2 linked regions of the Arabidopsis thaliana genome follow. The main gene of each other region encodes a partner of the protein of the gene in region 2 in a complex. Each region holds a gene or a part of one and is shown on either strand. Other genes may lie near its edges.

Region 1 (3,879 bases), on a different chromosome or scaffold from region 2:
GTTTTTGCATGTCTTGTCTTGTTGTGATTAGAATCGATTTCGGGAACTGTAATTGATTTTTGTTTTTGCATGTTTGTTAAGATTAAAAGTTTTCTGATTGAGCTGAAGAGAGTCCTAATTTTGAATTCTCATTTGATTTTAGAATGAAGCAAACACTTTCCAGATACGGTAATCACCAGAGTTCTTCAGCTTCTAAAGCAGAGGTGAGAATCATTCATTCTTGTCTCATATATCTTGAAATTGTTTTTTTGAAAATCTGATTGCTGTTTAGAACCTCCAGGAGGATTGTGCAGAGGTGGATATTTTAAAGGATCAACTTTCAAAGCTTCAAGAGAAACATTTGTATGGAAACTAAATAAATCTCACTATGCTTGTTCATTACTTTATTCTTCTCTACTTTGTGTTTGTTTTTAGTGTTTGGCTTTGTGTGTTCTGTTCTGTTGTAGACAACTGCAGGGCAAGGGCTTGAATCCTCTGACCTTTAAAGAGCTGCAAAGCCTTGAGCAGCAACTATATCATGCATTGATTACTGTCAGAGAGCGAAAGGTAACTAGTAATATCACTCTTCCATCATCATTTCTCTTTGCATTGTCCTGATTATGGTTATCTGATTTCAGGAACGATTGCTGACTAACCAACTTGAAGAATCACGCCTCAAGGTAAACACTAGCTTTTCCTCTCTAGCTTCCAAATGTAAGCTTATGTGTAATCACATGATTCTGAACCTTGTTAAAACCAGTGGCTATCCTTTGACAAGCTCATGCTCTAACTAGCTAGTGTGCAGTTTATTTGTCTTAAGACTCCTATATAACTAGGTACAGAGTGCAAAAGTATAATTCGTTTCTTGATTAGCCATATATATACTTTGCAGGAACAACGAGCAGAGTTGGAAAACGAGACCTTGCGTAGACAGGTTCTTATTATTTTTGTTGAATCATCTCCTAATGAACGCTTCTTCCTCTGACTTGTAATTACTTGTTGAAACAGGTTCAAGAACTGAGGAGCTTTCTCCCGTCGTTCACCCACTATGTTCCATCCTACATCAAATGCTTTGCTATAGATCCAAAGAACGCTCTCATAAACCACGACAGTAAATGCAGCCTCCAGAACACCGATTCAGACACAACTTTGCAATTAGGGTATTGCTCTTTTAAGTCTATTTGCTGTCATTGGTTGCATTATTGGAAAGCTGATTTAAGATAAATATAAGTCTTTTTCCTCCTCTGTTAGTTATGCATATGCCTTAACACTCACTAACTGGAGTTATAAAATTCTTACTACTTGTGTTTTCTCCAAGGTTGCCGGGAGAGGCACATGATAGAAGGACGAATGAAGGAGAAAGAGAGAGCCCGTCAAGCGATTCAGTGACAACAAACACGAGCAGCGAAACTGCAGAAAGAGGGGATCAGTCTAGTTTAGCAAATTCTCCACCTGAAGCCAAAAGACAAAGGTTCTCTGTTTAGTCCTAGAAAAGTATGGGAGAAGGCTACTAATGTTTCCTCTTTAGCAAGTATCCGATTGTTTTAAAAGTAATTTTAGAGGGATACTTGCAAAAAGAAGAGAAGATTCAGTTATCTAATCTCTGCACCAACTCTCTTTGTCCTTCTTCTTTTGATTATTTCTCGACTGTCTCTCCTATAAAAAAGATATGCCTAGCTGAGAGTTTGAAATCCATAATCTTTACAAGGCACAGAGTTATTTGACATCTCGTATAGTAAGAAAATTTGCGGAGAAATAAGCTTATAGAAAGTGAAGGTTATCGGAATCTTCCTACTCCATTACAATCAAGGCCCAATTGGACCTCAAATCCTAAACTGAAAAAGTTTATAATGAATTTCATTAAATGCCCCTAAAATATAAGCAAAAGTTTCAATAAAGACCTCATATTTCTCTATAATTACAATTCGTCCCCAGATTAATAAAGCCCAAAGGCATTAGACCGAAAACCCTAACCCCTCTTTATCCGCGCGAGAGCAATTGAGCAGCCATGGTTTGCATCAGGCGAGCGACGGTGGATGATCTGCTGGCGATGCAAGCCTGCAATCTCATGTGTCTTCCTGAGAACTACCAGATGAAGTACTACCTCTACCATATCCTCTCATGGCCTCAGCTTCTCTACGTCGCCGAGGACTACAATGGTCGCATCGTTGGCTATGTCTTGGCTAAGATGGAGGAAGAGAGCAACGAGTGCCACGGCCACATCACTTCTCTCGCCGTTCTTCGTACCCATCGCAAGCTCGGTCTCGCCACTAAGCTCATGACCGCCGCTCAAGCTGCCATGGAACAGGTTACTCCTCTAATCTTCAAATTTCGTATATCTTTGCATTCAATTAAGCAGATTCATTGAATTGATATAGAGTTTCGTGTTGAATAATTGGATGATATAGAAGAATTTGTGTGGTTTGAGTTTATGTTGAAGATTGATATAATGGTGTAAGTTAAAGGATTTTATTGAAAGTTAGAAACTTTGTGTGTCAAAGTGATTGTTGCAATTGTCATTGGAATTTGAAGTAACTTAAGCTCTGTAGATTGTATAAAGAGATTAAGTTTTGTCTCCGGTCGTGTTATGCTTTTGACTGACGGAGACGAGTAGTTTCTGATTGCCTGTGAAACTAATAATAGCAGACCTCAAAGGTTGATAGTTGTTTTCACTCTCGAACTTGGACTTTTTAAATTCATTCTCGGTCGGGGTTTTGTGGCAGGTTTACGAGGCTGAGTATGTTTCGTTGCATGTGAGGAGAAGTAACCGAGCAGCATTCAATCTATACACTGAGACATTAGGCTACAAGATTAATGATGTAGAAGCAAAGTACTACGCCGATGGGGAGGATGCTTATGACATGCGGAAGAATCTCAAGGGGAAGCAGAACCATCACCACGCCCACGGTCATCATCATCACCATGGAGGAGGATGTTGTTCTGGTGATGCAAAAGTTGTAGAAACAGCTCAAGCCGTAGATGGTAAAGCAGTTTCCAAATGAGATTCGAAAGCAGATAATTATGAGTATATTGAGGTGGGTTCACTGGCTCGCTCTAGTACTTCTCACTATTTCCATTCATATGATTCCGAGTGACAAATACATTTGGTGACCACTCTGTGTTACTCCTTTGTCTTTCTTTGGTTGTATTGAAAATTTAGCCGTTCCTTTTTTTGATGTATCATTTTGGAAATTCCAAGCTTTCATTAAGGCTTTACAACTTAAGCTGGAAATCTTCTATTTGCAAGATAGCAGATCTCTATTGGCAATATAGTACATTTAATTACAAGAAAAATAATCTTGGCTTGTACAGTTTTCCCTTTCAACTTAAAGTTCCTGTGTTCTTTGTATTCGAATATTTTGAAGTACTAGTTTGTGCAGCGTCAAAGCTTTCCTGTAGCCATCTGATCTGGGAATTGAGACCAGCATCACGCAGAGCATTCAAAGCTGAGGAATAAAGCCTAGCATCAAGCCTGGTTCCTTCAACTTTCATGTCCTGCAACAGCCTCATTAGCTCATCAATCCTACTGGTTTTGGAGAATACACCGACCATGATTCCTGCCATGGCCCTATCAATCTTTCCTCTGTTCATCCTAAACTCCTGGTAAAGCTCCACACATCTCTCCAACTCTTTTGATCTGTTATATGCACTGATCATACTAGTGTAACTCACCTTGTCCGGCAACACCTTCGCCCTCTTCATCTCTTTCCATATCTTTTCAGCCCTCCTTAAGTCCATAGCCCTTCCATGCATATCAATCAAGGAATTGTAAATCCAAATGTTGGGTTTACACCCTCTTTGTTTCATCTTAGCCATGAGTCTCACTGCATCGCTTAGTCTCCGTGTTTTCCCATACATATCCATTATGTTTGAGTATGCAACAACACACTTATCAAACCC
Region 2 (5,152 bases):
ACCACTGAATTCTCTAAACTTATGGTTTGTGTGTGTCTTCATGGTCTTGTTGAGACTCAATTATCTTAAGCTGTCATGTTAGTTTATATGCTTTTGTGATTGAGTTGAAGGTTAAACTATGCAGGAAGGCGTTGTTTTTGTACTTTCGGGCTTTGTTAATCCTGAGAGGAGTACACTGAGGTCACAAGCCTTGACAATGGGAGCCACCTATCAACCTGACTGGAACGCTGGCTCTACCTTGTTGATTTGTGCTTTTCCTAACACTCCAAAGTTCCGTCAAGTTGAAACAAATGGTGGAACAATTATCTCAAAGGTTACCTCTTTGACTCTTCTTATAAGGGATTGTGTGCGGATTTGAATTTCTCCTTTTTGCTGATATTTTATATGATTTCACTGTCTCCAGGAGTGGATAACTGAGTGTTATGCGCAGAAGAAGTTGGTAGATATCGAGCAATACCTTATGCATGCTGGAAAACCATGGAGGAAAAGCAGTAGTCCCCAAGATGCTAATCGAGGTAAAAAGAATTATATTGGAAAGGCTTTAGATAGAATCTCCGTTTTAACCATCCTGAGGTTCATCAAATCACCTTGTTTTTACGTTTATGACAAGAGAAAAGCTTTTCTTATTGCACTGCTTCACTCCGATGTTTAGTTGACTCTGTGAACCTTAATTGATTGTATTCAGAAAAGAGAGAACACCTGTCTAAAAAACCAGAGAAGCAAGTAGAGAAAAAAACAGAAACAAGGGGAACACCATCTACCTCATCCAAGGCATGTTTAAATCTGATGATTTGGTTAACCAAAACGAACCGTATTTTGCTCCAATCAATGGTCTATGACTGTTTATTTCCATATGTTCACAGAATAGATCAGCTTGCAATCTTGTGAAAGAGCCATTTTTTGTTACAGAGGTGAAGAAATGGGCCAGGGATGACCTAAGTCAAACCATCTCATGGCTTGAGAGTCAGGAGGAAAAAGTAAGGGAATTAATATGCTCTTTCAAAAGACATGTTTTCTTGATTGTATGTTTCCGTTATTCTAAAGCCATTGTAACAGCCAGAACCAGGCGAAATCAAGCGAATAGCTGCGGAAGGAGTCTTAACCTGCTTACAAGACGCCATAGATTCTCTTGAACAGAAGCAGGTTAATATCTCTGAAGTCTGAACAATAATAGTTGCCGCCTGTGTACATTTTTGGATTTGTTAAACTTTGATCAGTTTCTTTGAGAAGATCATTGGTTGAATTTATTCTCGAATGTTCTTAATTTTAGGACATTGGATCAGTTACAGAGCTATGGAGCTTTGTCCCTCGTGTAGTGAAGGAGCTTGGAAAGATGGAATCGTCTTCTAAAAAGGAAAATTCAACAGCATCAAAGGAAGAAGTTTGCAAACAAGCAAAGTCGTGGAAAAAGATCTACGAAGCTGAGCTAGCAAAACCGGGCGAAGATGAATCGACCTCTCGGGTTGCTTGTGGCTATGACAGTGATATGACCGTTGAGATGACTGAAGAAGAGATCGAACTTGCTTATAGGAACGTTTCTTTAGAGTGTCTTTAGATCAAACTTGTTTCATTTTGCATATGATCTCTTAAGGAATTCCAAGAATTCTTGTTATACTCGGTTTGTTCGGTTTGAGTAGGATGTTATTACTGATAAAAATTTGAAATAATCCGGTCTGCTTGGTTCGGAAAGAATGTTTCTAATTAGAATTTATTTATGCTGGTTTGGATTCGATTGAGAGATGTAATCGGTTGCAATTAATAAGTCGGTTTGATTTGATACTTTTTAGTGTCGATTGACGATGAATTTGATCGGTTAATACAAATTTGATTTGGTCAATTAGGTTCAGATGTCTCCAGTTTTGAACCGGTTTGGTTCTATCCAATTTAATAACCGTTTTGTAATATCAGACAAACGAATTGAAACCGGAAACATGTACCGATATGGTTAGGATCGAAGAAGATTGATTGAAGACAAGACCCTAATTTATTTATACCCTTATTGGGTTTTGTCTTGTGAGAGTTGTGCCTTTCTTTGTTTCGCAGTAGGGTTGAAGCGGATAGTACGCCACCTCTATCTCTCTCTCACCCTATCGAACTCGCGAAGAACATCTTCTTCTTCTTCTTCTCCGTCTTCGTCTTCGCGAGCTCTCTCAGTAGCGCAATAAAATGGGGGCTTCGCTTCCTCCTAAGGAGGCCAACCTCTTCAAGCTCATCGTCGTATGTTCCGATTCCCTCTCTTTCTTTCTCAGTTTTTACTTTGTCTTAAACATGCGATGTGATGTTCCTGGTCAGCAGAAATTGGAATACGATGAGTTTTATCTGCTCTATTAAACCCTAAATTAAGTTAATCGTCAATGTGTTGGGTCAATAGAAAAATTCGTTGACATATGAAGTAAACTGTGCGGAGTTGTGGTTCCTTAATGTGTTAATTTGATGTACCAAGTTCTTAGCTTCAGTTACTTTTGACTATCGGCTATTATTAGACCTCGATTGCTTCTGGGCTTTTTTAGTCGCTCAGGGATTCGTAGTTTACTTTGAAGAACTTGAAAACCAAGCTTTATCAATATATATATGGTTTCAGCATAGATTTTGGGTTTAACCATTATATTGTTCAACCTGCTTTGAATAGTTGACCTTTTTCTTTATGTAATTTTCGCAAGTAAGTACATCATATATAGTTATTCTGAGTAATCTTATAATGCAGAAATCATATGAGACTAAGCAGTACAAGAAGGGACTCAAGGCAGCTGATGCCATATTAAAAAAGTTTCCTGATCATGGAGGTCAGTTTGTCTTTTATCTAATATCTCCTTCTATTCCTTTGTGATTTAGTGCTAATCTTTTTACTGCTATCTAAATACTTACAACTCTATACTACATACATCAACCGAGATCTCATGACTTGTAGGTCTACTAGGCGCTTCGTTGTCTTGTCTATAGTCTTAAGAATCAATCACTGTTAGAATTTTTATTTTCTTTCTTCCTATTAGAGCAAATAAATTAACTTTTTAGTACAAGGGTAATGCTTGGTATTGTTTAGTTTTGTTAGTAGAGACCAGTTCTGTTTCGTGTTAAACGCAGTTCTTGCTTTTTTTGATTTGTCAACCCTTTTCGTTATTCTTTTCTTTCTTTTAAAACTTGTCGCTCTTATTGTTTGTGATTTTCAGAGACTTTATCGATGAAAGGACTGACTCTAAACTGTATGGACCGCAAAACTGAAGCATATGAGCTTGTTCGACTTGGAGTGAAGGTTTGAATATGCTCTTCAATAATCACAACTTTATTCCTTAGTTTCCAAAATGGTATTTTGTTTTCAGGGTAACATAGGATTTATATACTTCAAATTTTTTCATGCAGAATGATATCAAAAGCCATGTTTGCTGGCATGTGCTTGGTCTTTTGTACCGGTCAGACAGAGAGTATAGAGAAGCAATCAAATGCTACCGAAATGCTCTTAGAATAGATCCTGATAACCTTGAAATACTCAGAGACCTCTCACTTCTGCAGGTAATTATGAGAAAAACTAGATTGAGGTGAATTTATTAGGTGTGCCAGTTATTCTCAAAGCTGATTTTTCATACTTTTTATCACTTTACTTTGTGTAAAGCTTGTTCCAATTTTAATCTCTTTTGATGCTTTCAATAGTTAATCATATTGGTTACTTTCTTTTTCCTAGGCACAAATGCGGGACTTATCCGGTTTTGTGGAGACCAGGCAGCAGCTTTTGACATTGAAGCCTAATCACCGAATGAACTGGATTGGCTTTGCAGTCTCTCAGCATTTAAACGCAAAGTATGTTATTGTCCTTGACCCCATAAATCTAAATATGTTAAACCACTTTACTCATTTGAATGGAATGCTAGTTTTTCCTCTTTGGACTATTGGCTAGCTGGTTAATGGCATATGATTTGGAATTATAGTCTTGAACACTTTAAGGAGTAGATAGTGGATGCCTATGTTGGTACGAATCTTGCATCAGATTTTTAGGAAATAATATACCAATGAACATACAGTAGAATTTTCTGTGAACATCTTTTCTTTACTAGTAAAAGCTAGCCATGTATATCAACCTTGATCTCTTAACTTGTTCTATTTTCTCCTGAAACCAGTGCTTCTAAAGCTGTTGAAATTTTGGAAGCGTATGAAGGCACCTTAGAGGATGACTATCCTCCTGAGAACGAGCTAATTGAACACACAGAAATGATTCTATACAAGGTATCAACCAGAAACTTTACAACTATCATATATTGACTGTTGTCTTTCTAAGTTTTTTTCCCTGAAAAATCATGCTTGCCTAAACGGGTTTCACACATTTTTCTCCTATTGACGAAAATACCAAAAGTACAAGTTGGTTGATACAAAATATGGCTTACTGCTTGTATCATACATTTTGTGAATCACACCTGTATTCTTTTGTGACAAAAGCATAACTCTCTCAAGTATAATTGGATATGAACCCTGGAAAGTCTCTCCAAGCCACCTGGAGTGGTGGTGTTCTGTTCACTCTTTCCCCCTGAAACTTCCCTGTTTGAGCAACCTACAGTTGGCATTAGCACATTTTTCATAGCTGTAGCTGCAGGAAATCTCATCTGGATTTTTTTTTCGTTTCAGGTTTCCTTGCTTGAGGAGAGTGGTTCTTTTGACAAAGCTCTTGAGGAGTTGCACAAAAAAGAGCCGAAAATAGTAAGTTCACAAAACTGATGGTTGAATGTATTTGGATAATAGGATGCACACATAATAGTAGATTTAACATTCCTCGTTTGCTTGTTTGTAGGTTGATAAGTTGTCTTACAAAGAACAAGAGGTATCTCTCTTGTCAAAGGTTGGTCGTCTAGAAGAAGCCAATAAACTCTACAGGGTTTTACTTTCCATGAACCCTGACAATTACAGGTTTTTTCCTTGCACTTCAAAGTAGCTCTAAAGAAATTATCTGTGTATTTTTTCGTTTTTCTCAATTGTCACATCTGTTTGCCCTGCTTCATTATCTTTGGCATTGGCGGTCTATACCTTTGCTACTCTCAAAGGCTTCTATATATTTTTGGTACTGTCAATTTTTTGTAAACAAATAAAAAGTGCATTCCTTGCTTTTTCAGATATCATGAGGGCCTCCAAAAATGCCTTGGATTGTATTCAGAAAGTGGTCAATATTCGT

What was found.
Region 1: EMB2753 (region 2) and AT5G13780 share a complex: the UniProt entries of both Arabidopsis thaliana proteins name them as parts of the natA complex.

Annotation. Positions count from the first base shown.
Region 1 is NC_003076.8:4,446,712-4,450,590, reverse strand, and holds AT5G13780 (Acyl-CoA N-acyltransferases (NAT) superfamily protein), read left to right. Parts: upstream 1-1,915; 5' UTR 1,916-1,987; coding exon 1,988-2,287; intron 2,288-2,702; coding exon 2,703-2,981; 3' UTR 2,982-3,300; downstream 3,301-3,879. Other genes in the region: AGL15 (AGAMOUS-like 15), read left to right, coding at 143-203, 272-342, 447-546, 618-659, 872-913, 988-1,139, 1,298-1,463; AT5G13770 (Pentatricopeptide repeat (PPR-like) superfamily protein), read right to left, coding at 3,301-3,879. UniProt on the Arabidopsis thaliana protein: Catalytic subunit of the NatA N-alpha-acetyltransferase complex. Required for male gametocyte development, embryogenesis, suspensor development and the formation of the quiescent center (QC) in the root meristem.
Region 2 is NC_003070.9:30,231,847-30,236,998, reverse strand, and holds the start of EMB2753 (tetratricopeptide repeat (TPR)-containing protein), read left to right. Parts: upstream 1-2,013; 5' UTR 2,014-2,166; coding exon 2,167-2,217; intron 2,218-2,704; coding exon 2,705-2,783; intron 2,784-3,167; coding exon 3,168-3,250; intron 3,251-3,357; coding exon 3,358-3,507; intron 3,508-3,676; coding exon 3,677-3,792; intron 3,793-4,109; coding exon 4,110-4,215; intron 4,216-4,611; coding exon 4,612-4,683; intron 4,684-4,774; coding exon 4,775-4,890; intron 4,891-5,093; coding exon 5,094-5,152. Other genes in the region: ATXRCC1 (BRCT domain-containing DNA repair protein), read left to right, coding at 1-24, 125-313, 404-515, 686-771, 864-977, 1,057-1,143, 1,271-1,555. UniProt on the Arabidopsis thaliana protein: Auxiliary subunit of the NatA N-alpha-acetyltransferase complex. Required for male gametocyte development, embryogenesis, suspensor development and the formation of the quiescent center (QC) in the root meristem.